Xenopus tropicalis: one gene and its partners. The protein of the gene in region 4 interacts with the protein of the main gene of each other region in a pairwise test. Links are inferred from orthologs where the notes say so. Each region holds a gene or a part of one and is shown on either strand. Other genes may lie near its edges. The genes, in order: prkab2, peptidyl-prolyl cis-trans isomerase, rab3ip, banp, camk2d, tnxb and leng1.

Region 1 (4,111 bases), about 52 Mb from region 4:
ATAGCTTTTAAGTTAATAAATATTTCTATAGGTATACATGCCCCTGGGCTGCTTTCATTTAAACAGGTGCCACTGTGCAAATAAAAAAGCTACCTGTTGTTAGGGAAAAAAATATTAAGCCTTCCCTGATATGTTTAAAAAGTATGACTTCTGCCCAGCTAGAGAGTTACAGGTAAGACAATCATGTAAACTAAAAAATACAAAACCAATATATGCCTATTTTTATGTAAGTTGTACTACCTTTTAATCAGTGGAATTTTGGCAGTCCAGTTGTTAAATGACCCAGATATGAAGACTTCTTTGCCACCTTCTGTCCAACGGATTACAGTGGGACGACCTTGCTGAGCTGATTTTCCAGGATCCTCTGATTCCTGGGGCCACGTTGAGTCACCAGGGTGCTGCATTGCCAAAATGTAAATTAGAAATAGATTTATAGCTCGGGAAACAATAACTTGTGGGTCTCCAGCTATTGTTGCTATCTACCTTTTGTGTCAAGGGATTTCTCAGAAATGTAGTTCAACAGCAGGAGGTCCACATATAATAAACTCTTTAGAAGAAGCACTATGGAATGTATTTTTGCATCCCTTCTAACACTAGCATTCGGGTCATAGTAAATGACCCCTATGGCATTAAAAGATCACATTCCCACTCCAGTCTCATATAGCTTTTCAGTTCATTGGAATACCTTAGATTCTTGAGTACTAAAGATATTTGGGTCGTCTGTGCTTCCAACCATGATTTTGTTTTCCTCATGCTCCTTAGTAGAGTGTCCCCCAGTTGCTCCATCTGCACGGTGGGACTTGCCATGCCGATCTCCAGATAAGCGATCACTTGCTGTGTTACCCATATTTGGCTCAGGCCACTGCAAAGCAAACAAGTTGTGGTGTAAAGTGTATTTTATATGAAGGGGAAATATGTAAGAGAGCCAAAAGTACAACTAATAAATAGGGTTAATATGGCTCAGGCTATTGTTTTAATTTTGAATCATATATCTTATTTAAGCTATGCAAAGAAAGCATGGTTTATCTTTACACAGCTTCTGTGTCTAGAAATGTGCAATGCAAGTCAATGCAAGGAGAGACAATGACCTCAGTATGATATATATCAGCCTCAGAGTGCCTGGAGTTTAAGAAATAAAAAAGAAAAATAAGCAATGGGTAACTGTAACACTCATTCTCACTCCTTTACTGGAATGAATGAAGGGCTCTATCACATGGGATCTGTATGTTCTTTCCATGCTTGTGTTATTTCCTCCAGGTACCCCAGTTTCCTTTCACACTCCAAAAATATGAACTGGCTACTGATATCATTGATAGGAACTTAGACTGTAAGCTCAACTGGGGCAGGGACCGGGTAGTAATAATAATAATAAAAAATATAAATAATAATAAGGCTATTCACTACAGATTCACTACAGTTTTTTGTCTTTTATCATTTACAAAAAATGGGAAATATTCTTAGACTGTAAGCTCACACAGGAATGGCCCTTCCCTTATTGCCTCCTACCAATAAGCAATTGTATATGTGTATTGTATCCCTAATCCATACTAGCTTTGCATGCCTTGTATATTAATTTTTTCCTTATTTTTTTGCTTTATATCATTACATAGTTTTTTTCTATATGTAGCTGGCTCTTTGGTTCATGAGATCAAGGACAGTGACATCTGATCTCAAGATGGAGACCTATTCATGTATCCCAGCATTAGATCCTTGTGACCTTGCTGCTCCAGTTATTGCACCCAAACAGAGCTGCCATAACTTTGGAGATGTACTTTGTATCCCCAGAAAAAAGCAGCTCTATAAATCCAGTTCCATTCTATTTGTTGAATGGGATCTCCACAGGAACTAAAGGTTGAGGCAATCTCACGTCAGTAGCAAGGCTTGGGCTCAGTTCTCTGCACAGGATAACAGCATATTGGTAATAGGTTTTAGTGAGTGTGGCCGAAATTGCTGCGTCTGAGCACGTGTTGGAGCTTGTGTTTTAAAGGAAATGTGAACCCAAATATACGAATCTTCCATAATGAAACAAAATGTACTAAGTAACTTTCAAATATACAGTAATAACCTCTTCACTATTCTGGGACATAAAATCGCAGTGTCTGTAAATCCGACACCTGGCAGGAAGCCTAATGGGAAACAGGACACAGTAATTAGCAGTAATTTACTGGCCAGCAGCATCTCTAGAGAGTGACAGGCACAACACAAGGACTAGAATATGGGGTTTAGTTATATACAAACACAGCAGCTACCACATATTACCCAGAGCTCCTTAGAGCAAAGCACTGCAGTTCATTTAGCAGCTTGTGTATAATAACTATGGCAACAGCAGTGCCATGATACAGAATTACTTTGCCCTCTAACTCCATTCCGCTTACCACAAAGGCTACTTTATTCCATTGCTCCTTTTATTAGTACAATACATATATCAATAGGCATCACCCAGGACTTATTTAATATTAACACATCAGAAGGACCTGTATATTATAGAGCAGTTACCTAGGAACTACATGAGAGTGAATAGAAATATAAAGCAAGGAAGCCAGGAGGGAAACAACAACAACTTGACAAGGAAATATTCCCATAATGCCCTGCGCCCAGCGCTGGCATCTAATGTCATTTGCTGAGTAATAATTACACAGAACGATGTACCCTATTTACTAACAGACATGTAGTGTAGGATGCTAAGGAAACTTACCCCGTTTGCTGCAGGTCCCTCTCCCTTGGAGTGAGCGGGGTAGCCCCTGTGCAATGCCGGGAATAGCTCTCAGCTGTGCTCTAACCGTGACACATTGCACAGCCGCTTGTCACACGCAGCAAATAGATTGTGTGGCAGACGAGCCGGGCAAATCAGCACCACTTGCAACAGGCCTGCATCAGCGATTCATCTCTCTGCCATCTAGTGGAGGGAAGCTGAGGGGAAAGTAGGGCTTGTGGCACGGGTAACCCTATAAGCACTGGATCAAAAATCCCCCAAGGCGATTTAGTTTTCGTTTCCAACGTGCTATATAACAATTATATAAATCATCTTTTAATACATACGCCTAGTTGTGCAAGTCATTGTTTCCGGTTCAAGTGGGTTGTTCTGAGTATTTAGGGTTATGTTAACCCATTATAACCTGCTCTGCACAGAAACAGGGCCTTATTGTTTGTATGTAGGTATATCTTTATTTACAAAGCACTACTTATGTACGTAGCACTGTACAGTAGAATATATTAATACAAACAGGGGGTTAAGTTAATAGATAAATACAATGTATAACATATTATTGTGTCCGGGAAATGCCCTCCCCGCTATACGCAATAGCGAGTGTACAAAAATATTGTGAAAATGACTCTCTGTCGGTTGGTGCTAGAGTATAAGCAGCCAGTGCAGTTGGTCACACTACATACCACTAATGGAGTAGGTATGTAAAGAAAAAAGCGTTCAGTTTACAACATAAATAAACAGTAGCACTAAAGTAAATATTTGTATGTATGTATGTATGTATGTATATCTTTATTTATAAAGCGCTACTTATGTACGCAGCGCTGTACAGTAGAATACATTAATACAAACTGGGGTTATTAAGATAATCGATAAATACAAAGTATAACAATAAATACAAGATAAATACAGTTGCAATAAGTTAAGAGTCAAAGACACAAGAGGATGGAGGTCCCTGCCCCGTAGAGCTTACAGTCTATATATTTGAAATTCTCCAATGAGCTTTTTGGAAATCTCTGATGTAAATATCTAAAACAACTGCTGTAATATGTCCTGTGTGATTGTATCTATCTTTTGCCCCTGGAAAGCTGGGGAGGTAGGTTAAAGCGAAACATCTACGCTACCATAAAACTAGCAATGCCACTTAATATGGCAAGCCTCCACATAAAGTACTGTAACTGACACCAGCAAAGCTGACCATATACATACTGATAAAACCATATATGAAATGATTTTCAGTGTGCGCAGATGGTGGCCCAGTTATGGATGGGTAGGTTTAAAAAACAAAGCAGCTGATGCACCATGGTGTATGGTGCATCAGTAAATGAAGAAGTGGAAATGTCAGGGCTACCATCAGGGGGAGTAATAAAGGTATGAACCTTTAGGCTAAGGACCCATGGAGCGAGT
Region 2 (4,036 bases), on a different chromosome or scaffold from region 4:
AAGCACAGGCTCCCACTTCTGGTCTAAATCTCCCATAATCCTCATGACTGATCTGTCCACAAACAGCAGATAAAACACTTGCGTTATAGACAAGTCAGGAGAACAGGGAGCCATTATGGGCAAGAAGACAGTACCTTAGGCAGGTAACTCCCCAATGGGCTTCTATAGGGTAAGGCAGAAAGAGAATGTGCCCTGCGCCCCTACATCACAGGGGTTCCTTTCAACTTCTATCAAGTGCTGCCATAGGATGCTGTTGGAGGTCCCTGATTTTGGCAAGTTCACTGAACTTGTCCTGTCACTGATGTCCCTGATTTATGTCAAATCCTTTAGATCATATATGTCAAACACAAGGCCCGGGGGCCAAATCCGGCCCACCTGACTGTTTTATGTGGCATTTGGTGAGTGTGTCTGGCCATCCAGCCTGATCAATTTCCATTTTCTCACATAGTAACTATGGGGTATATTTACCATGCTGTGTAAAAAGTAGAGTGTAATGTTGCCCAAGGCATCCAATCAGTAATCAGATTTCAACAGTAACAAACATCTATTGGCTGCTATGAGCAACATCACCGGTAATGCCTTACTCCCCTTTTTACACATTGTGATAAATATACCCCTTAGTATCTTACTAAGTATATTAATAAAATTTGTCCCGCGACTTAGCCTGTGTTTTAGATTTCCTTATGTGATTGAGTTTGACACCCCTGCTTTAGATGGACACCCCCCCCCCCCATCTTTAACATGGTGTTGCACCTTCATGTGAGTGAATATGACACAAGCAGGCTTAGGAGCATTACATGTTGGCGTGCAGCTGAATGAAACAAAGATAGAAGAAATGCCTGGGCCCAGAGATGGGATTGGATTCCCTCTGGCAGGGCAAGGGCGTCTAAGCAAGGTACTAAGCATCTGAGCGATTATCTCCCAGTACATCCCCAACTGGGACGGCCACTACAAAGGCAAGAGTGGGGATTACAGGTGTCTGGAATCCATCCACCCCCTGCATTCCCGGAACAGAAATATGCAATGGGCTATTTGAAATATGAAACATTAGCCCCTGCATGGCCATGTGTGGCTCTGTCTGGGACACCAGGGCTGGCTCCTCTATGCAGGGCGCTGTCATGTATTTCTCAGGCATTACAGACAAAAGGGATAGAGAAGAATAAATAGAAAGAACAAAACAACAAGCATTTGGACCCCCTGCTCTTAGCAAGTCAGTTTGGTGGGACTGGCAGGTTATGGTGTAGACTGCAGATCTAGGGGTGCTAAGGCCTCACCACAACTAGAAGGTGCAGTTCAGCAGCACAGACTCAGCTAAAGATATCAGGATCTTGTAATTGATAAAAGCTAATTGCTGGTTGGTTGCAATATGCAGAGATTTACTCCAGCCAAAATGTGGATATAGAGTAAGTCTGGTTCTATGATGACGCCATATATTTCTATATAGAGAGAAAAGAAACAATATATATGGAGTACACATGCCTCAACCAGCCTGTCCCACCGCTACTGGCACCAGGGTCAGGGCAGGTGACGGGCCCCATGGAAGGACTGTGTATACTTGGGGACAGTGGCCGTAACGCCTAAACTGGAGATAGAACAGGCTCCAGCACGACTCGGTGGGATTAATAAGGTTTAGAAAGTAAGTCTTCTGTTTAATCAGCTGGCCGCTCATCCAAAATATCCCACCCATACACTTGCATGGAGAAGCGAGGTATTTGCCCTGTTAGCATCGCCTCAGAAATGGACTGTGGCCCTGGATTTGTCACATCAGCGGCTCTGCGCTCTCTGCATATCAGGACATTAGTCTGAGCTGTGCCAGCATTCAGGCTGCTGGGTGACAATATGGGCTCCCTGCTGGCTGTGACAGGGACACTTGCCCATGGGCTGACATTCACATAGGGTAGATGGATGATGCTTGTTTCAGTTTCATACCTAAACAACATCATATTACAATGTCACTACATCTTGCCTTATTCTCCTGCATACTGTAGATGGGACTTGCAAGCCCCTCAGTGGAGTGCTGAGAGCTGCAGTTAAACAACAACTGGAGGGTTACAGGTTAAACGACTGAGACAATTTTCAATTGGTCTTCATTTTTTATTACTCATGGTTTCTGATTTATTTTGCCTTTTGTTCAGCAGCTCTCAAGTCTGGATTTTCAGCAGCTATCTGGTTGCTGGGGTCCAATTTCACTTAGCAACCAGGTAGTGGTTTGGAAAAAAAAAACAGAAATACAAATAGAGGAGGGCTGAAATAGAAATAGAAGTAAAAAAAAGTAACCATAAGACTAAAACTGTAGCCACACAGAGTAACAGTTTGAGGGTCGTGGGGTCAGTGACCCCCATTTGAAAGCTGGAAAGAGTCAGGAAGAGGAAGGCAAATAATTCAAAAACAATAAAAATGAAGACCAAATGAAAGCTTGCTAAGAATAGGCCATTCTATAACATTCTAAAGTAACCCTGAAGGTGAACAAGCCCTTTAAAGAAACGCTTCTGTACATATCAGCTATCAGAGCCCCTCAGTGAAAACATAAGATTCCCTTTAAAATCCTGTCGGATTCCCACCCCATACTGGTGCATCTCAGTGGGACATACTTACCTCCATCACTATCCGACCAAGGGGAATATCATTTGCGGATATGTCAAAAAACACTCGTTTGTTCTCCATAGCGAGGCTGCCCAGCTTGTAGAGTGAGGGGGATGCTATAGTGGGGACGGGTGGAGCCCCTGTCTTATATATACCTAGGCTTCCCCCTGCCCTAGCTGTCAGTCAGCCCTAGCTGTCAGTCACAGGGGAAAGCAGATAAGGCTCAGTAGGGCAGCCTGGCCAAAGCACTGGAACCAAGAATATTTGATACCAGCTGAGTCTATTCCTCTTCTAATCCTGTAGGATATGCTGTGGGTAGCACCAAATGCTATGTGATTAATGTGGGGGGGAGCACAGAATGAACACAATGCTATTTCCGTAACATCTCCTAGCTGGGCAGCGTTTCTTGTCCTCCTGATGGTATCAAGCAAATCACTGTGACCTCGGCTACTGTCAGTCCCCTCACAATCCAAGGCAAACCCCCAAAATAACAATGGCTAGGAGGCATTTCCCATTGGCCACCTCACTGCTCATAACAGCGCTGTGGGTCTTACGTCTCCCCAGCAGTCAGTCCCATTATATTTCTGTGGATGAAATTTGAATGTTAAAAAATCTAACACTCTTGAAAAGAAATATGCAATGGACTGTTAGACATACAAACCCAGGCTCCAGCCATTAACCCTCTCCCTCTTCTTTAATTGCTTTTTATGAGGTTAGTAAGAAGCTGGACAGTGGGGCTGTCCAGTTTATCAGTGGAATCTATTCAGATTTTGCCCCATCAACTACTGTACTGGGTCCTGTTATTCAATTTATTAAAGGGATTCTGCATGATTTTTGTGGTATAGTTTTAACTATATTACACTGTTCAGTTTGCAAATAATTCACTCTACCATTTAAAATTGTATTATTGGACCAACAAATGTATTTTTAGCTGTAATATTTGTTGTGTAGGCGCCATCTCAGTGCATTGTGCCTGAGTCTGAGCTTTCAGAAGGAGCCAGCGCTACACATTAGAACTGCTTTCAGGTAACCTATTGTTTCACCTACTCCCATGTAACTGGAGGAGTCCCAAGCCGGACTTGGATTTCTTACTATTGAGTGCTATTCTGATACCTACTGGGAGCTGCTATCTTGCTCCCTTCCTATTGCTCTGCTGATCAGCTGCTGGGAGGAGGGAAGGCAGAGTATAGCAGGTTTTTGCTTTACTAACACTATTAATATAGGTATGGTCATGTGATAACATAGGTGTGGTTTCAAGTGGGTGTTGTTTAAAAAAGGGGAGTGGTCAAAACTGGCTTCCATTATCGGCCCTCCATCAAGTAGGCCAGATAAATTCCAGCCCTCGGTACCACAGAAGTTGGACAGCACTGACTTAGGGGAAGGTATTGTACATAATGTATCGGTGTTTGCAGCCCAATTAGTTCCATCCAGGATGTGGCATCTTTGCAGCAGG
Region 3 (4,032 bases), on a different chromosome or scaffold from region 4:
CATCTAAGTTGGGACTTAGAAATGAATACGTCAACTAATGCGTCAAGCTGTAGCAATTAAGAAGACTGGTGGCATGGATTTTTTTAAACTACTTCTAGGAAATCTTAGTGAAAAATATATTCATTTTTAAAGCTTACATTTTAGAAAATGTGTATAAAAAAAAACTAGAAAGCAGTTGAAATAAGCAATATGTGTTTTACTTTTTGAAGTCATGTTACAGTATTTGAAAAGAAAATAACTAGTTACTTTTTGTTTTTGTTTTTTCAACCAGATACTGCTGCATAAATTTTGTAGGTCACTGAACATAGACATTTTCAGGATAGGCTAAGTATGTGTGTATATCAGACAGAATCCTGCATTATTCTCTCAAAGTGACAAGCATCGATAACGATCAGTCTTTTAATTGGCATGTGGAGTCTAATAATCTGGTGAGAACACCAATTACATATTACATTCATATACATAACACCAATTACAAAAAAGTTAAGCCTGATACACTGAGGGGATACTCAACATACTGGCACCCCAATGATTTAGGCTTTCTTTGTCCTTTTAAGACTATAATCACCTTTCACAGAGGTGTCATGTGAACAAAATGTGTAAAGTCTGCTACATCTTTAATATTGATTAACTTTTTGAGGCGCTGCTCCAAACAAAAGTGGAAGCATAGCTTGAATATATGAGCAGTGCCGGATTTCAAAATAGTGCACCCCTAAGCCGGCTTTCTTCGGTATCCCTCAAAGGCACATATGCATGCAAATACATATTATGTATTTGTTGTGTTCCCCATGCACGTGGCTGGCTTGCTAGTTCCTAGACACCCGTAGCACTGAGAACTGGACACAGGAGATTCAAATAATTGTCAAAATCTCAGGCATGTCCAGTCCCAAATGCTCCAGAGGTGTCTGTAAGAAGGGAAAATTACAGATGCTGATGGGCAGCATGCTCTAAAAAACTTGCCGCTCTAGGCCCTGGCCTTTGTGGTGGTCCGACAAATAAGGGCCTGTATATTTGCGGTCAACACCACCCTGCGAATTTTATGTACATATGGACTGGTTAATACACATTCCTATTTTATTAATGTCTGTCTAAATCGACTACCTGAAGGCCAATACTTGCAACCAGTTGGGCAAACAGGCTACGTGGTTACATTTATGGCAGCCTAAACTCAAACAACAAACATGACATAGGCATTTAGAAAAAAAAAATTGGATGTGCTATAGGCAGGTTTTATGTGTTTCTCCACAAAAGTAAATGATATGAATTGTCTGGTGATATTAGCTTTAAAGGATCCTAAATTAAAATGAATAATGTGTAGTGGGCATCCTATAGCCTAGTTTTAACAATATGTTATTCCCAAAAGTGCCATAAAAACATTCTGCAATTTTAGTGCAGAAAAATGTGACTGGATTCAAGAATGTTACAAAGTTAATTTTGTAACATAATTACAGCAAGTTGCCAAAATGTGATACTTTTAGGGCTACTAGTAGCAGCTACTTTTTCAAGGCTACTAAACTCCAGAGAATACCCTGCCATAGACAATACTGAGAATTGCCTCTGCTAAAACACACATAGAGACAATCATCAGTTAATGATCAGCATTGTCTTTTTTATTAGCCACTGCATGTAGCTGCTACTAGTACTGTGTGTCTTCAATTAGCTGGGTAAGCATTTTGGCTTTGACACTAATGCGGTTTCAACATAGTCTTCCGTTGTATTTTACAGCAGTAACTGGATCTGTTATCCAGAAACCTATTATCCAAGAGGCTCCAAAATACATTGAACATTCTTAGAATCATATGAAATCCACTTATAATATGGCATATTTCTATAGGGCAAAAGGGGTATCCCAGCATACAGAATAGGCAAACTGTGTAAAGCTTGGGGATAACAATATATGAAACAACAGAGACCTAAGGTATACTGTGTGCACACTAACAAACAGAATGATTCCCACACCCAATTAAAACTAAATTCATGGGTTTAATTATCTTTTTCATTCTAGTTATGCTCAGCCTCTGTCCCCCCCTCAATGAACTCCTAACAGATTTGGGCTGTCAAAAAATACTGATGTTATACTGTATAACTTGCAGGGTTACAGGTTGTTCCTCGGAAAGTATGTATGATACCTAAAGATGATAGCTTTCAGCTCAATTGGAAAAATGACTTTTTCTAACAATGAACCGTGGTGCAATTAAGAGAAGCAAAAGCTATTTGCTTAAAAAAAGTATTGTCCTCTGTAATAAAGTACTGACAAAATAAAAATACACCTGACAACAATAATAAAGAAAAAAAAGAGGACTACCCTTGTCTAAAAGCCCTTGGTAGGACATCTTCGAGTGTCTGACTACCACTCCCAGGATCCTTGGACAGCAATAGGCTGTATACAGTAGTGAGATAATAGAGTGCACCACAACAATAAGACAGCCTCAGGCTACTCACTAAGAACATATTAACCTGCCTACAGGGTGAGGCCTACAGATGAACAGCACTACTATGCTCCATTGCACTTGCTAATGCATCGTTTCGTGAGCCTAAGGCAAAACTCGGTTGCTTGGGCACACATAGCTACGATGCGCCAGATGGGTCAAATCAACCATTATAGGGCAGCCACATATATATACAAGGAACCTGCTGAAGTGCGAGCTCCGGGCTCTTTCGCACAAACAATAGCATGGACGAGCAATCACAAAAGAAATGACATTCGCGATGCCCTTATCAAGAAACCGGCTCGTGTGACTCCCTAATCCCCAAGCGTCTCCCTCCCGTCACCCTATTACCTGTCAAAGCCTTATGGCTGCAACACGCTGAGAGAGAAATACAAGTCCGAATCCGTGCCCGCGCAGCGCGCTCCCCCCAGGAACAGCAGGTGCAAACTACATGGGCAAGAGGCGCACTCACCGGCCAAGCCAGGAACGCGCGTATATGACGTCAGCGATCCCTTCCAACCAATGAGCGCTCACGGGTACGCCGCACCTGCGTGGAGGCAAGGGAAGCGCTTTGGTGACGTCACGCAGTAGGTCGGGCTGCCCACACTGAGGGTGCTAGGAGTGCTGTGTCAGGGAGCTGGCAAATGAGCTTTACTGTGGATCCTGGGTCAAGCCAAGGGTTCATCCTGAAACGTAGAGGTCTTGCAAGAGGGACAGTCTTCTGTTAAATTTCAATTTAATGCCCCTAAAACTAAAATGCGAAGTTTCTTACAAAAAGAAGGAAATAGAGTGCTGCCTGCTGTGCAATTGAGAGTCAAGCTGCTGTTAAGCGGTTTTCTGTTCTCTGCCCTGGTGGTTGTGGTTTGTGAAACGATGTAGTAGCTGAGTGATTGACTTGTAATAAAGCATGCAAGGCTGAACTTCTACGTTGTTTAAACGATATAAACTATTAGTGTTGAAGGAAAAAGGCAAAGTTTGCATTCAGTGGCAGAAGCATTTGCAAATAACTTTGCAACTACTGAACATGTTTTAGAAAGTTGCTTAGAATTATTTTAAGTAGGCAAAATTTTATTTTCGGGTGTATAGCTTCACTAAAATAAATAAGATTCACACCATGCCTTGCTTAGCTTGTGTTTACATATGAGACCAGCGCTCCAGAAGTGAAGGAAAAAGGCAAATTTTGCATTCAGCGACAGAAGCATTTGCAAATAACAGAATTTCTTTTATTAGGCAAAATGTTATTTTCAGGTGTATAGCTTCAATAAAACAAATACAATTTACACTATGAATTGCTTAGCCATATGCTTACATATTAGACTATCCAGAAACAAAGTAAAATGGAGAATATGTTTATATAACATGTTTTTTGAAGTACATTAGAGGGGATTATAGGCAGATGGGGGATGTTCTTTTTCCCATAAAAACAATCAACGCACCAGAGGTCACCCCTTTAGATTAGAGGAACAGAGCTTCCATTTGAAGCAGCGTAGGTGGTTTTTCACGGTGAGGGCAGTGAGGCTGTGGAATGCCCTTCCTAGAGATGTGGTAATGGCAGATTCTGTTAATGCCTTTAAGAGGGGCCTAGATGAGTTCTTGAACAATC
Region 4 (3,500 bases):
GTTCACAGATAGTTACTGTCTGATTTTGTTAGTGTTTGAGTGTTAGTGACACTCAAATGCTCCGTGGTCTGGGCAGCTGGTGAGAAGCTAAAGCTAGGGGTCATTTCAAATCATCAAGCCAAAAATGACGTCATAGATGCTGATGCTACCGGGCTAATTATTAAACTGTGATTCAGAATGCACTGGTTTCTGAGCTGTCATATAATGGACCTGAATTAATTACTAATCAGCTTCGCATTGTGACTTTTATATTGTCAATATGCAGTATTTCGTGCGTCTTTAAGTTTAGGTAACTGGCAGCAGCAGAGAGCATGTGTTATGGATCAGCAGAAAAAAAATGATAGGAATCTACTTGGGGCATCTTCAAATTTACAGATCTTTACTGCAAACAAGCTGTAGTAGCCTTGGGCTTCTACAGAATCTCAAAAAATAAAGTGCAGCATTTCTAGTCCTTTGTTAAGCTTTAGCTTTCCTATAAATCATTTTTACATGTTTTTGTAGACACCTATTCTTCAGCATCACAAACTCAACAGATTATGGATTGTCCCATATCCCCATAAGTGTTACAAATAGGGTTTTGGGCACTGGTGCTTTATATAAAACTTTATATGAAAAAAAACAATAAACAGTCTTTTAGGAAGTATGCAAAAGTCACATAATAACTGAAAATGTAGTGCCATTAAGCAAGCCCATAAAGGGAATATTCATTAATAAACTATATTTTACTAAAACATTTGCTATTTTGTTTAGTTTTAGTCTGAGTTTAAGAACAAAAATGAATGCATTAGAAGGGATGTCGTTGAATCAAATGCAGAACCTTTGGAACAAGGGCACAGGATGCAGATCCAAAACTCAATGCCAGCAAGAGTTTATTCTTTCAGCCTAGGAACTCCTCTAATACTGAGAATTCTATACTTTTAGTGACCAACAGCAGCGTTGACACAGAGCCTGTTTAGATATTAATAATATACTGCTTTAAGTTCTCAAGTTCATTAAGTCTGGATTCTCACAGAGAAAGTTTGGCCTTTCTGAACTTTTGTAACTGTAAAATAGGTTTGCAAAACTAAAAGAAGCCTTTTTTATTAAGTAAATGCTTGATTCACTGACAAATCAGCCAAAGATATTATTTAATTGCTCCAGAGACCAGGTTTATTTATGTAAGCTAGGAACGGGTTGTTTTTATAATATTAATGCAACTCTGTGTCTTGGTAACACAGCTACCAGAAGTTTTCATATAATTCCCTGAGACCGAATATCACCCAGATTTGTAATAAAAATAAACAGCCAGGCTTTAATAATAAAATACTTAGATTCCTTGAATATTTTTTTGGGCAGGTGTTTCATTTTACTTTCTCTGTTTTGAATAATGATTGACAACAACTAAACTTGCACACTAAAATCAACTTCCCATACCTTATCTGATAAGGGATCATTATTTATGGTATACTGTATTAAAAAATGGGGTATGCCTTTAATAACTATTAGAGTTGCCACCTTCTGGCAGCAGGAACTCCGGGTACAGTTGTGGAATGAGATGTTGGTGTAAGGCATGTGACAGCAGTTGGCCGGGCTATGACATAACAACCAGCGATTGGTCGATTGCCACATGAATTAAGGGGAGGCCTGTCCAGATTTCCTAATTTAGAAAAGCAGGTAGGGGGTTTTGACCTGGAGAACCTGGTTTTTGAAAGGGACAGGTGGCAACCCTAACAAATACTTAGTACACAGTGAGCAGTCGAAAAATTAGTATATAAAGCAGAATGGGATTTTTGAGGAAATGGGGCTTTCTTAATTAATGGGGCAAAAAAGGAGCATGTTTTAACAGTGTCATGCAGAACTGTGTGATAAATTCATTCAAAATCATTTGTGACCAATTGAATGAAAGCTGAGCATGCACATTTTCAAGACTTGAGAGGCTTTATTTTTCTTTCCAGCATGTTTTTTTGAGCAAGTATAATCTTTGTTTTATGATGTCATGGAATCTGCCTTCTGGGATGAAACAGCTATTTAAAAAATATAATTATTCTTAATTATTCTTAAGAAGCAGCCTTCTTATACAAAAATGTAATTTAAAAGAAAAAAATACATCCTGATGATTTTCAATATGAAGATGTATTTTCGATAGATGAATAGATAGCTAGTAGAGCAGAGTTTAATGTAGCTCAAATTATAGGTTACTGTATTTTTTTTCTTAGATTTGTTATGTGGTGTGATGCTTTTACTAGTGGTTTTTCATGGTGAACGGTGAACATAATTTGCTTTCTTTCTGGTATTCAAGAGGCAGCTACACACTGTAGTAATCTCCCCGAAATGCCATCACAGCGGCGTCTGCGATTTACATTTTCACTGGTGGAATGGCATTTCAGGGAGATTAGTCGCCCGCGAACAGGGAGATTTGTTGCGGGCGACTAATCTCCCCATGTGCCAGAGCCCTAAAAGTTGCCACTTTTCTGAGATTTTTATTTGTCAAAATAGCTAAAAATTCAATACAAACTTTAGAGGTTTTGGATATTTGGCGCCATTATTTGTGCAAGATTTCTAAAAATACACAGTTTTTATGTGACAAGTTGAAAAATGTGTGATTTTTCCCAACTTTTCTGTGACTTTTCCAGTTCAGACTTTTTAGTATATGTAAGACATTCGTAGAAACAAGTTTATTCGAATTAAAAAAAAAAAAGTTATTTTTAGTAAATCTGCCCCCACATGAGTTTCTTTGAGAAAGTCATCAAATGTGACCAAAGCTTTGTAAGAATATTCTAAATAAATTTATTAGAACTGGTGAGTGCAATGTTATGTTATATTTAATTACTTTTCTGTCCATTTAATGTGCTGTCTGATCTTACAGTACTATAAAGGCATATACTGAGTATGTTCATAGACATATATTGTGCCATGGTTCAAATCAAATGACAAGAATCTTTCTTGGGAAGCACAATCCTTATATCTGTTTCTGTTTCAACTTAAATAACAACTCAAATAATCATATATATCTGTTGTAACAGGTTAATTTTTGTGAGAGGCATGGAATCAGATATAGTGATGCAACAGATTTTCACTATCACTTCTAAAACAATGGTTTGCATCAAATATGTATATTTTGTTCCAATCTCCAATCCATGTTGTTTATGATTTAAGTCCTACCACCTTCTTTCCAACCCTCTTCTATGTATTGTTAAATGGGAAGCCTATGTTTTGTATGCATGCTAAAGCTTTTAATGGTAATATGTACTTCTTTTGCTTTTTAGAGGATTATCCTAATGGTACATGGTTGGGGGATGAACATAATCCAGAGATGAGAGTAAGAAGTCCTATAACAGCAGCTGACATGCTGCACATCAGTACCAACTGTCGAACAGCTGAAAAGATGGCGCTTACTTTACTTGATTATCTTTTCCATCGAGAAATCCAGGCTATCTCCAACTTGTCAGGCCAGGGGAAACATGGGAAAAAGCAACTGGATCCATTAATGATCTACGGAATAAGATGTAAGTAAAGTGATT
Region 5 (4,101 bases), on a different chromosome or scaffold from region 4:
TTACATGGGTTTATCCTATAGGCTACAGATCTCCCACTGGGTTTAAAGCTGAAGCCGGGATAATAGCTGATCAGGATAATAGCTGATCAGATTCCCAAACCACAAAGGCCTGGGCTTAGGGAAGCATAAATTTAGGTGCGGCATACCACCCAGCCGCTCGTAAAGAAAACCTTAGTGCATCCTGTCCCAAGTGCTCTGTATGTAAGCTAAAAGGACACGCATGCGTGCGATCCTGCTGGGGGGGGAAAATGGGGGCAGCTTATGGGCCCCATAGACAGAAATCCGGCACTGAAGATAGCGCTGAGGTCTTGCTGGCTGGTATGTTTTGCTACACAGAGGTTACCTTTTTAGCCACACTACTGACTACAAGTCCAGACATGGTGCGCACCAACTCCATTGCTCTACTTTTCCACTACATTAGTAGTTGACTGCTGTCAGTTCCTCAGTGTGGAATCAATAACACCATTAGTATCACATTCACTTGCCACAAGTCACCTGTGAATATAGACACAATGCACTAAGGGAATTATGGTCAGATCCATGGTGAAGGTAATTCCTGGGTTCTCGTGTGTCAATGATATCACTTGTGCATAACTCATTAGGCTTGCAGCAAGTTGCAAAGGCGCCTGTATGGATCTAAAAGCCTTTCTGAATCAATCAATGCATGCATAGTTTTGCATCCATTTTAGCACTTCTGCTTGCTTTCATAAATGAACCCTAGCAGGCCCATCAGCATTTCAGCATGTATTTGAAATTGAAATTGAAATTGCACCAGGCAGGTACTTCTTCTGCCTACCCCTAGTCTGCGCTCTCTAGCCCCCCCCACCTCTTGACATTACAGGCAACCCCAGCAATCACTCAGGGGCAGGGGATGGGGGAAGGTGGCCAGCCATGTTGCCTAGGGTGCCTCCCTGGCTTGGCTCTCCTCTGGCACCTGTACAGACTTTGTGCCTTTTATTACATCACCCCCTTTGACTGCTTAGTATATAGTTAATATGCACACTTTGAATGCATAGCTGCTTTTACCATGACTAGTGACATGGTTCCTGTATAAAATCAATAGTTTTGACAATATACTAGGATAAATACGTTGTGTAGGCTGGAACTAACGCCCGGTAAGAAGGTAGAAATCATGAATACAAAAAAGAAATTTACTAATGGCTTGAACTGAATGTTTTTTCTTTCCACACCATTTTTAAATCAAAAATAGCTTTGCTATTAGCTGAGGAAGTTCCTAGTTTTCTCTAACGATGTTTACTTCCACCCCCAGAGCGTAACAAACAGAGGGATTTCCCGGTAAAACACGCAGGACATGATGGTGCTATGATACCCCGTCCGATATCTCTGTGGACTCGTCTGCTGTTGTTGAGTCGCTAGAGGGAGGTGCGTTCCATAGAACGGTAGGGGGGGGAGCGAGCAGCTCGTACCCACTCACTCGCACACAGAGCACATCTAACCCGCATAAAATATAACCGTGAGCTGTTCCCTCTCGGGCTGCCATTAGAGGCAGCGGGTCGGAAGCAGTAAGACATTAGCCTGCGCTTTCTGAGAAGGGTCCTAGCGGCATGACCGACCTGCAGGACGCCTTCGCGTTTTTATAGTTTTGTCGCTGTATTTGGTTCCTCTTTCACCCGATATGACACTTTCCTTCCCCAATGCGTCTTGAGATATTCAAGCTAAAAGGAGCCAGCAGCTGTTTGTGACACTGTCATTTTGCGCTACTACGTTCTTTTGTTTTACGCTGCGCTCCCCACAGGGAAGCGAAAGTGAAGCGGAGACGGGGAAACGCTGCAAATAAGGCAAAGCACTAAGCACTAGAGAGCAGTGACCGTGTGAGCCGACCCTGCTGCGTGAAGAGAGGCGGGGAGGAGGAGGAGGAGGAGGAGAGGGGCACAGGGAGGAGGGAAAGCCGAGCATCCTCCCCAGGCTCAGGTTAGGAGCTACTCTGCGCCCTACTGCTGCCACCTCGGGATCCCGCCGCTGCCGCTTCTCTTGCCTGTCATTGCGCTGCTGCGCGTCCCCTAGCACCCCGACCGTGCACCACCAGCGGAAAAAAGCAGGGGGAGGAGGCGCTATGGCTTCAACTACTTGCACCAGGTTTACGGATGAGTACCAGCTCTTCGAGGAGCTAGGAAAGTAAGTAGCAAGAACAGATATGGCTTCATTGTCTGTGGCCCAGCAGCGCCTAACCTGTAGCCCTCCAGCCTTGGGGTCATGGGAGTTATAGTTTGTCAACACCTTAGGGCTGCTAGTTGGGCATTCCTGGCTTACACATTAGCTCTTTAATATTATAGGATGTATGTGATGTATATATACACATTATATAATAAATATATCATTTGTGTTTATGCGTAGAAATGGTCAGTTGTAGTAACTGCCCACTTGTGAAGGGCTGGAGGGACAGCATTATAGATGCCCATTTTATTTTTAACATTTGCCCAGAGGTGAACTTGTGGGAGTTTGGAAGAAATACATCACTAAAATATATATGCGCCTTGTCTCATTTGTATCTTCCTCTAATGATCTGTATGGCAGACCATTTGCTCAGTAATTGTGTCAGAATCATAACAAAAGTTACACAAGCTTAGCCAGTTAACATGATTCTCCTCTGCCCCAGCTGAACACCCTGTATTGTGACTCTGGTGTTGAAACGGTTAATTGCATAATTCATTTATTTATAGTATATGTGGGAAAAAGTGACGCATAGACGCAGCCTGTGCCCAAGTATGTTTGATTGTGCCTATCTACACTAAAGGCTCGTGCCAGGAAATAGTCCATCAAGTGTACTTTGTTATCAGCACTGCCAGTGGAAGTATGCAGTTTGAACAGCACATGGATGAAAACTTGTGTCATGGTAAAGGGCTACAAGGAGCAGCAATTGAGGTTACAGCTGAGGGAATCCCTACCCTGTAGATTCTTTAAAGGTACACTCCATCCAAAAATTGTCTAGATAATGGTAAAACAATGTGTTTATCCCTCTGTTCTCTGATTCTGACTCAGGGCCCTGGAAGACATGGATATATGTCATAAGCGTTAATTCTGTGCATTTGGATCGACACAAGTAAAAAATAAACATTATTTGCAGCAATCCAGCTTAAACACAGGAAATTGCCTTCTTTCACATTTTCCCGCGATTAAGCCGGATTGGTGCAAGTAATATGTTTTTACTTGCAATGATTCAAATGTTAGGCAAGGGGAAGGCATTTTCACTTGTTGACCATAGTAATGCATATTTACCACGGCTGCCAAATCTTCCTATGTGCCAGTACCCTAAAAGTATCTTGCTTTAGCTACATTGTTTCAGTAAGCATAACCAAAAGTGCAGAGAATATAAGCAGCCAGACTAGGGTTGCTACCTGTTCAGTATTTTATTGACCTTGGTGGAAAAAAATATGCCTGAGGCCAATGTTATTAATAGGAAAGATATATAAAAATATGGTAAGGTTGGCATTTTTGTTTTTGGAATCAAGACAGATGCAGCTTTCAACAGTCCCTTTAAAATAATAGCTTCAAGTCTCTTTAAATTATATTTTCTTTTATTTTTTTTGGGAGGTGGAAATCCCCTATAACAACAGAGGGTTTATACAAAAATAGATGCCATGCACGGAATGTTCAGCAATGAGAAATGCTGTAAGGACAAATAGCCTAGTGCTATAAATAGCAAGCAAAATCTTAATACACTGCTGGGGGGTGAATATTGCCTGGCAATACAGTGTAAATGTAGTTGGCCAGAGCTTCAACCAGTGGCTCGGAAACACAGTCTGGATACCTTATATTTCTCAGGGGAAATGAGGGAATTCTTCCAGCTATCATTGCTGGTGACTCACACTACAGAAATTCAGGTCAGTGTGGAAACATCTTGCTCTCCTAAGAACTGATTAAATTGCATCTTTTTATGCTTTCACTGTGTCTGGCCACTTGAATTTTCTCAAATTTGACCTTACTCTTTTATCTATCACTATAATATGTATTGCCCTAAACATAATGACACTCCGTTTAAATATCCACTCTTGACAAAGAGCTCATGGGAATCCTCCATCCAGAGCCAGTTACAAGAGGCATTTACTAGTGTTGAGAAGGAAAGACCATTTCGGTTTTCGT
Region 6 (4,061 bases), on a different chromosome or scaffold from region 4:
AGTCAAGGCCAATCCCAGAACATTGCTGTTACAGTAACCCACTTACAATTAGCATATATTTTCTGCCAATAAGAGCCACTAATACTAAAAGTAAGTAGGTGTTCCAAGCCAACCAATATTCAACTGTATCTAAGTGTTATCTTTTCCCTATACACTTTGTATATGAGCGCATGCACTCTAAATGCATCGTGGTTACGATATTGCTGTATACAGATTGCTTTCCTTAGAACAATAACAAAATAATAATTACTCATTAAGTAAAACCTGCTCCATATAATGATTTTGCTAAAAGTTAGTGGCCATATGGTAAAAGTAACATTTGTATATAGTAGTTGATCATATAATATTCAGCAGATATAACTAACTTTTCCCACTGTTTGGGAACCTACGGGTTAGAGAGGGGGATCTGCATTACCTCAGGTACAGATGTACCACCCCTGTACACTTACCAGCTCCACTCTGCACATTTCCACAACATGGAGGTGAACACTGTCCTTTTATGTCCCGAACCAACTTTTCCAAAATTTCAAGTCGCTTGAGGAGAGCTCGCACCCCTCCTGCATCTGGACATTGAGTTGATGTGGATGGAGGGGCCAGACAACCCTTGAAAAACAAAATGAAGAAGAGCAGAGGCAGGAAAGAGGGCATGATAAAGGCAGAGGAATCCCTAAGAAGTGAGAATGGAAGAACCAAAAAAAAAGGATAAGGATGCAAAGGGAGATAAACAAGTGAATACATGCAGGAAAAGCAAAATCAAGAAAAGTCAAGTTGAGGAAGTTGGAAAAGAAGAAGGTAAGAAAGGTGAGAGTGAAGAAAGGAGGGTGTGAGAAAGTGAGTTGAAGTAGAGACCATGTTGCCAAAAAGCAAAGACAGATGTGAGAAAACACAAGCAAAAGTGTGTTAAATATGAACAATTTGAGGATTTGTCAACATATATATTTTTCATTATACCGGAGCTATATGGATATGTTATCCTGTACAATATCAGTGAAGTCTCTGGAAAATATCATTCTTCTAAAATCAGTGATTTGCATTCTAACAGTCCCATGTTACCATGAAATTGCTATTCCAATAACCCTCTGCAGAACCTGACCATAAATGTATGTATTAACCCTTCCAAAGCCAGGTACACCCTGTTTCTTAAAAATGTTCAAATTCCGTACAAACCAGAACCCGTGAAATGTAAAGTGGATGTTTTTTTTCATTTATTTGCAATTCTTCTTCTAGTTTGACAGTTCCTTTGTTTAAATTAAATTATTGCCTCTATTTCACACATGTACAATAACTGAAATTACCCAGAAGCTTAACAACAAGAACAAAAAAACAAACACCTTTTTCAACCATTGGACTACAGGCAACAAAGCCTGTGTGTGTGTTTATCATATACACACTTTCACCAAAATGATCCTGAAGAAGACAAGACTATACATTTGAAAAACATTCTCAGTTTAATAGTTTAATATGTTTGTAAAGATATAATTACTCCAAAGTCTTTGGGTCAAAACAAATGGAAACAGCTGCCAATATTCCTAGTTTTAATTTTTGGTGTACAGACCTGTATTACATTATCCATGAGACAAATGTAATCTGACAAACAATATGCACTCCACCAGTGTAGTTCCAAACCAGGACATGTGCCCATCAAGTTTCATTCAAATAAAATTGACTTTACAGTAACAAATCTAATTAACCATAGAGTTTTTTTTATAGTAACATGCAACACCCGGAATTTATAATAGTCAAAAAAGTGTATACTTGTTTACTGTGCACCTGGGTGAAATTTTAAAGCAGTGATATTTATATATATATATATATAAAACTATATTTTTGTATTTGCACAAATCCTGTGAGTGCTATACTCCATGTGATGGCTGTGATGAACTATAACATGGCACCAAGGTCACTGCAATTGTTGGTGTGTGACCTCTTTAATATGTTATATATACATATAAGGGATAAGCCAAATTCTTTCTTTTTGGATCAAATCCTAATTTTTATACTAAAATTTGAAAAACCTCAAAAAATTGCTGTGAGCTTGTCATGATCACTTGTCCACAGTTTTAAAGTCACATAGGTTTCAACAAAATCCATATCTGGCAAAAACTGCTGGGATATTGCCAAATGCCTAATTATGTTTATATATATATCATGAGAGTTACGGTGCACTACCTGCCAGTAAAACATGATGGCTTCAGTTCAACCATGAAAAGCTAAATTAAATGACCAAAAATAAAAAGAGCTCTCATAAATAGTGAAAAAGGTAATTATGAAATATAAACTGTCAGTATGGGCTTCCTACAATAGACCCATTACAGTAAACTCACTGTTACATTTTATTATAAAGCACCAACATAAAATACTGTACAACAATGAAACAGCATATAAGGCACTGGACCAAATGTATTCTGCTCACAGGAACTTGTTCTTCCTCAAAATGACATTTACCTAAAGCTCAGAGAAAACCCACCCCCTTGCAGACATGGTGGGCTGAGAAAGGTTCAGCTCTTACCTTTTCAGTGAAGTATCAGGGATTGCTGCTTGCAGCCAGCTCCAGTGTGGTCTTCCCTTTTTTGCTCCTTGCTGTATTTCTTGCTTGTTCCTACAGGATGAGCCCGCCTCACTTTCAAGCAGTTTGTACTTTATTCCTTGACTCAGTCTTTCCTTGCCCTTTAACTCTCTCTGTCATTCTTAGCCATCAACCCAATTCACAAGACTTCAGGCACTTTGCTCTTCCTCCTTTCTCTGTAAGATTCTGCCCAGTTTCAGCCCGTCTTCTCTCCCTCAGAGCTGCTCTGGGGTAACTGGCAGAGAGAGAGAGTGAAACAGAGAGAAGGGAGGGAGAGATATGTCCAAATGATGATGTCATGGTAAAATGCAGATATACATCTGTAATGACATGAATTCATCTTTTCTTCCACTCAAATTTTTTCTCACCCTTTCCCTTCACCCCCCTCTGTCTCTTTTAGGTTTTCTCTGTTCATCTAATTTAGTTTTTATTACATTTTCATTCTCAGCTTCTTCTTTCAGGCTTTCATCTTCTGTTTACTGCCCACAACAATCCTTATTTTGTTCTGTTTTCTTTCATTGACATTTACAGTATTTTTTCAAATAACTTTCCTTCTGTCCCTCTGATGAGTTCTTTCCTCTCACTGTCATTTTCTTCTTTCTCATCTATACTTTTTCTATCTGTTCTTCTTACTCTTTTACACTATATATTTTAAATTGTCTCATTATCATTCTTACAGTCATTATCACCCGTCCTATTATGTCTACAATTCTCATCTATAGTATACTGTCTCTGTCATCCTTACCTATTACCCTTACTGATTCTCTCTCTTTCATCCTTGTTGGCTTTCTTACCCATTATGTATAACATGTTTTATACTTGCTCTGTCATTATTTCTCTCAGTCTCGCTTATTCTATACTTTGTCATTCTTAAACGTGTTTACTCTTTTTCTTTTAAAATGGTGTATCTTCTCTTTTATTCTCACCTATTGTATTATTTTTTTTTATATCATTCTCACTGTTATTCTCACCTATTCACTAATCTATACATTATTTTCATAGTTATTATTTACTGCTCAGGTGGGTATTTTTCATTTTCTTTTCGTTTTTCTAAATTCTCTGTCTGCTACCCCCACATTTGTCCATTAAAAATGTTCACTCATGATGACTGATAAATATTTTTTTCACCTTCCTTCTTTTGTTTTAAGGTCCCCATACACCATACGATCCGCTCGTTTGGCGATGTCGCCAAGTGAGCGGATCTTCTCCCGATATCCCCCACCTACGGGTGGGGGATATCGGGAGAATCCAGGGTAATTCGATCGTTTGGACCTGGGGCCAAACGATCTAATTATAACGGCGGGTATAGGAAAAGTCGGTCCGGGGGCCGCATCAACGAGCCGATGCGGTCCTTGATCCGTCTAGATTTTCTAACCTGCCCGATCGAGATCTGCCCGATTTCAGGCCAGATATCGGTCGGGCAGGCTCGTCGGGAGTGCCCATACACAGGCTGATTAGCTGCCAAATTGGTCCAAGGGACCAATATCGGCAGCTA
Region 7 (3,563 bases), on a different chromosome or scaffold from region 4:
ACAGACTTGTTCAGTGCTGGGAAACTGTACTTATTGCTCCCAACTCCAATTGCAGGAACAAAGAACAGGAAGTCAGAGTTACACAGATCAGCTGGGATTCTCATTGGAGAATTTTTTTTGCATTTTAATGCAGCCACTGGCCCTGGAGATTTGGGGAAAGGTTTTGGAAATGTTTCAATATTGCTTTAAGAATACAACCCCTGATGTTACTGGACTACAGCTCACCCTTCATTATATGTTAAATTGTTCTGGGATTTGTAGTCCAGGAACAACTGAGTAAAGTTTGGTTGAGCAGTGCTGCAGGCTTTAGTGTACCTTTAAACCAGGGGTCCCCAACCTTTTTTACTCATAAGCCACAGTCAAACGTAAAAAGACTTGGAGAGCAACACAAGCACCATAAAAGTTCATGGAGGAGCCAAATAAGTGCTGTGATTGGCTATTAGGCAGCCTCTATGCACACTATCAGCTTACAGGAGGCTTTATTTGGTAGTAAATCTTGTTTTTATTCAACAAAAACTTGACAACAAGTCAGGAATTCAAAAATAACTACCTGGTTTGGGGGCACTGAGAGCAACATCCACGGGGTTGGGGAGCAACATGGTTGGAGATCACTGCTTTAAACCCTCCCATCATCCACAGTTTAGGAACAAAAAAGAAGTGGAACCCTTGTGCCACTGCCATTGTTTCTTATTTGAACTCCTTCCTTCCTAAAATGGTGCAGGAGTAGGAAGTCTTGTCCCAAATCAGCCCTTGTTTTGTCCATTAATTGCAAACAATCTGGTTTCCACAGTCTGCACATCAGACGCTTATTCCTGCCCCGGCACTGTGGATATAAAAAAAGAAAAATCAATTCACAGCCTACAATTAAGTGCTTGGTAAGTATGAATGGTGCCTACAGTAGCTCTTAGTTCTCTTGTTTGCACAAATATACTAGCATTCTCCCATGCCATGAAAAAAATCCTAAAAACTCAAGATTAGTTTTGGTTTATTTCATCCATTTTAATTCTTCTAAATTAGCCCTTGTTTTAAACTGTTTCTACATTTCTCCCATCCCTAGTTTCCCCTCTTTCCTTTCTGGTCAAATTGAGAAAATTATTTTATTTGTTCCCTGGCCCAAGCTAAAACTAAACAAAGCAAAAAAAAATGTTTTTTTTAAATGAAAATCATAAAGACTGGGAACGCAGTGACTTTTCCCTGTCAGAAGTAGGCGCTACAAGCAAAGACAATTACAATAGCAAGCGGACTCAAGTGACATGCCACAACCAACAGCTTATCCTTATGTGACACGGACGTACTCCCGCCCCCAAAGGTTCGTACGTACCACGCCCCCGCGCTTACGTTATGCGGCGTGACGCAACGATCTCGCGAGATGAGATTTGTGACGTCTGGATTTGTGTCCGGAAGGAATCACGGAGTTGAAAGTTAAAGCAGGATTATTTGGTGGAATTGTGACAGGACAGTTGCCATGAATATCCTGCCTAAGAAGAGCTGGCATGTGCGTAATAAGGATAACGTGGCCCGCGTTAGGAAGGACGAGGCACAGGCTGCGGAAGAGGAGCGAGTGCGTAGGAAACGGGTGGAACTCGCAGAACAAGAGGTGAGAGTAGCGCTGCAGTGAAACTATAGACCCCGGCTCTAAAGGCACACTAGGCCTTATATACTACAGAGGCAAAAATGTGCATGTTGCACACAGAGAGCGATTGCGCCTGTTTCTTGCATCAAGCTCACATTGCGCATATCTCTGTAAAGGCGCGGAATGGTATACCGTTTGACACTGGCCTTGTGGTCAAATGTTCTCCATGGGGCAGTGGTTCAACTGTAATACTCTTGGCATCTCCAGTAGATCTACATTATTCTTTGGTACTCAGTCATGGAGACACTGCTGCCAGAGGGTGCCAGGTACATTAGACGGAAGGTGTCTTGGTTGCACATGTGTGTTTGCCGTTTCAGGCTCGGACAGATTTCCTGCGTAAGAAGGCTCGTCTCTCCTTGCCAGAAGAGTACAGGAGTGATGGGACTTCCTCGGTGGAACTCACCAAGGATTCTGGCCACATCAACTTTTTTCAAGAAGTGGAGGAGGGCAAAGGAACAAACAAAGGCAACAAAGAATATGAAGAGGAGAAACGTAAAGAAAAGGTCTGTTATTTTACTTTACTGCAGGAGAGGCTGTGTGTTTTGACAACTTTTCCCTTACTGTATTTTAAATTATTTGTATTTAACTTGATTTCTTAGGTGGGTTTTGCTTTGTTTTTTATGGATAATTTACACAGGAGCGGCAAGAAAAAACCCTGGGCATTCTTACATATTTAGGACAAAGTGCTGCAGAAGCCCAAACCAGTCGCCCATGGTACCAGGAAGTCCCTGGTCGCCACTGTAAGGCCGAAGATGGCAACGCAAAGGATGAAAAGGTGAAAAACCTGTTAGATCCTTTACATGACATGGAGAAATACTTGCAGAAGAAATCTGGAGAAAAGAAGAAATTTAAAGAAGAAAAGCAAAACAAACATAAATCCAGGCAAGAAAGCAGGTAGGTTAGACAAAATTGGAATTTGCTGCTAGTCTACAGGTATTCCTGCTGCTTTAATTAGAAGCCCATGGATCCCAGTGCTCAATTAAATCCACTGCCTTTGTCTCTCTAGTTCTTTTGTTCTGTGCTGAATGAGCTAACTCACAATGTAAATATTTGGCAGAAGTAGTAATGTAGGCAATGTCTCCAGCCTCTAGAAAGTTTGGTCTTGGTAGGAGTGTGCTGCATGATTTAGAGTGATTTGTTTCTTTGTCTTGTAGACCCACCAAGCCATCAATAGAGCAACTAAGGCAGGAACGTCTCAAGAGAGAGGCAGCAGAGAGAGCTCGGGCTGAAGCCTTGCTATCAGGGAGAAAGGAGTCTGCAGAACCAGAACAAGAAATGGATGACCGAACACGCCGTTACAATTCTCAGTTCAACCCACAGCTGGCACGAAAACCTAAAATGCGAGAAGAGCCACAGCGGTGATGTTAAAGAAACTAATGGCAATATTTCTACATCTCATAGCTCTGATAATAAAATGTATATATTTCCAAGTTGCTGTAGAATGTCCTAATGCACTTGGGTTAATGGACCACAAGCCCCTACAAAATGCCAGACGTCTGCACTGAGTAGCAGGACAGGAGAGGATTACCCATTTTTAAACCACACAGGTGTGATAGAAAGTAAATTCTACATAGGTTGTACAGCAGTGCTTACATACACCAAGGCTTTTTCTTGGTTGCAATTATATAAAACTGGATTCCTGTAATTGGTGCTCTACTTTATACCAGGCAGAAAAATCATTCTAGAACAGGAGTTTTCCTTATGCCTGTTTCTACATGAGATTAAAGAAAATGTTGTTTGATACAAGGAAGATTAATCATGAAACAAAAGCACTGGGGAAAAACATGAAGTGTCAGGTTATTGCCAAAACAGTCACATAATTTGGATTGTGAACTACACAGGGATAGAGAGGTCTGGCATGTTTAGTGATTACTGTCTTTTCAACAATGAAATCTCTCAAACATAAGTATACATTTTCAGAAATATGCTT

Evidence for each region.
Region 1: the proteins of banp (region 4) and prkab2 interact in binary tests that used the Homo sapiens proteins (3 or more experiments, as listed by UniProt). The link is inferred for Xenopus tropicalis from reciprocal best matches to the Homo sapiens genes BANP and PRKAB2.
Region 2: the proteins of banp (region 4) and peptidyl-prolyl cis-trans isomerase interact in binary tests that used the Homo sapiens proteins (3 or more experiments, as listed by UniProt). The two-hybrid records come from large-scale screens. The link is inferred for Xenopus tropicalis from reciprocal best matches to the Homo sapiens genes BANP and PPIF.
Region 3: the proteins of banp (region 4) and rab3ip interact in binary tests that used the Homo sapiens proteins (3 or more experiments, as listed by UniProt). The two-hybrid records come from large-scale screens. The link is inferred for Xenopus tropicalis from reciprocal best matches to the Homo sapiens genes BANP and RAB3IP.
Region 5: the proteins of banp (region 4) and camk2d interact in binary tests that used the Homo sapiens proteins (3 or more experiments, as listed by UniProt). The two-hybrid records come from large-scale screens. The link is inferred for Xenopus tropicalis from reciprocal best matches to the Homo sapiens genes BANP and CAMK2D.
Region 6: the proteins of banp (region 4) and tnxb interact in binary tests that used the Homo sapiens proteins (3 or more experiments, as listed by UniProt). The two-hybrid records come from large-scale screens. The link is inferred for Xenopus tropicalis from reciprocal best matches to the Homo sapiens genes BANP and TNXB.
Region 7: the proteins of banp (region 4) and leng1 interact in binary tests that used the Homo sapiens proteins (3 or more experiments, as listed by UniProt). The two-hybrid records come from large-scale screens. The link is inferred for Xenopus tropicalis from reciprocal best matches to the Homo sapiens genes BANP and LENG1.

Annotation. Positions count from the first base shown.
Region 1 is NC_030680.2:118,092,817-118,096,927, reverse strand, and holds the start of prkab2 (5'-AMP-activated protein kinase subunit beta-2), read right to left. Parts: upstream 2,801-4,111; 5' UTR 2,696-2,800; intron 863-2,695; 5' UTR 848-862; coding exon 686-847; intron 399-685; coding exon 241-398; intron 1-240. UniProt on the Homo sapiens protein: Non-catalytic subunit of AMP-activated protein kinase (AMPK), an energy sensor protein kinase that plays a key role in regulating cellular energy metabolism.
Region 2 is NC_030679.2:126,260,463-126,264,498, forward strand, and holds the start of peptidyl-prolyl cis-trans isomerase, read right to left. Parts: upstream 2,801-4,036; 5' UTR 2,665-2,800; coding exon 2,596-2,664; intron 1-2,595. UniProt on the Homo sapiens protein: PPIase that catalyzes the cis-trans isomerization of proline imidic peptide bonds in oligopeptides and may therefore assist protein folding. Involved in regulation of the mitochondrial permeability transition pore (mPTP).
Region 3 is NC_030679.2:59,166,644-59,170,675, reverse strand, and holds the start of rab3ip (rab-3A-interacting protein), read right to left. Parts: upstream 2,801-4,032; 5' UTR 2,781-2,800; intron 1-2,780. UniProt on the Homo sapiens protein: Guanine nucleotide exchange factor (GEF) which may activate RAB8A and RAB8B. Promotes the exchange of GDP to GTP, converting inactive GDP-bound Rab proteins into their active GTP-bound form.
Region 4 is NC_030680.2:65,883,095-65,886,594, forward strand, and holds part of banp (protein BANP), read left to right. Parts: intron 1-3,245; coding exon 3,246-3,485; intron 3,486-3,500. UniProt on the Homo sapiens protein: Controls V(D)J recombination during T-cell development by repressing T-cell receptor (TCR) beta enhancer function. Binds to scaffold/matrix attachment region beta (S/MARbeta), an ATC-rich DNA sequence located upstream of the TCR beta enhancer.
Region 5 is NC_030677.2:69,463,113-69,467,213, reverse strand, and holds the start of camk2d (calcium/calmodulin-dependent protein kinase type II subunit delta), read left to right. Parts: upstream 1-1,301; 5' UTR 1,302-2,074; coding exon 2,075-2,136; intron 2,137-4,101. UniProt on the Homo sapiens protein: Calcium/calmodulin-dependent protein kinase involved in the regulation of Ca(2+) homeostatis and excitation-contraction coupling (ECC) in heart by targeting ion channels, transporters and accessory proteins involved in Ca(2+) influx into the myocyte, Ca(2+) release from the sarcoplasmic reticulum (SR), SR Ca(2+) uptake and Na(+) and K(+) channel transport.
Region 6 is NC_030684.2:73,758,478-73,762,538, forward strand, and holds the start of tnxb (tenascin-X), read right to left. Parts: upstream 2,801-4,061; 5' UTR 2,510-2,800; intron 668-2,509; 5' UTR 649-667; coding exon 450-648; intron 1-449. UniProt on the Homo sapiens protein: Appears to mediate interactions between cells and the extracellular matrix. Substrate-adhesion molecule that appears to inhibit cell migration. Accelerates collagen fibril formation. May play a role in supporting the growth of epithelial tumors.
Region 7 is NC_030683.2:104,890,696-104,894,258, forward strand, and holds leng1 (leukocyte receptor cluster member 1), read left to right. Parts: upstream 1-1,432; 5' UTR 1,433-1,465; coding exon 1,466-1,597; intron 1,598-1,950; coding exon 1,951-2,136; intron 2,137-2,270; coding exon 2,271-2,527; intron 2,528-2,787; coding exon 2,788-2,995; 3' UTR 2,996-3,063; downstream 3,064-3,563.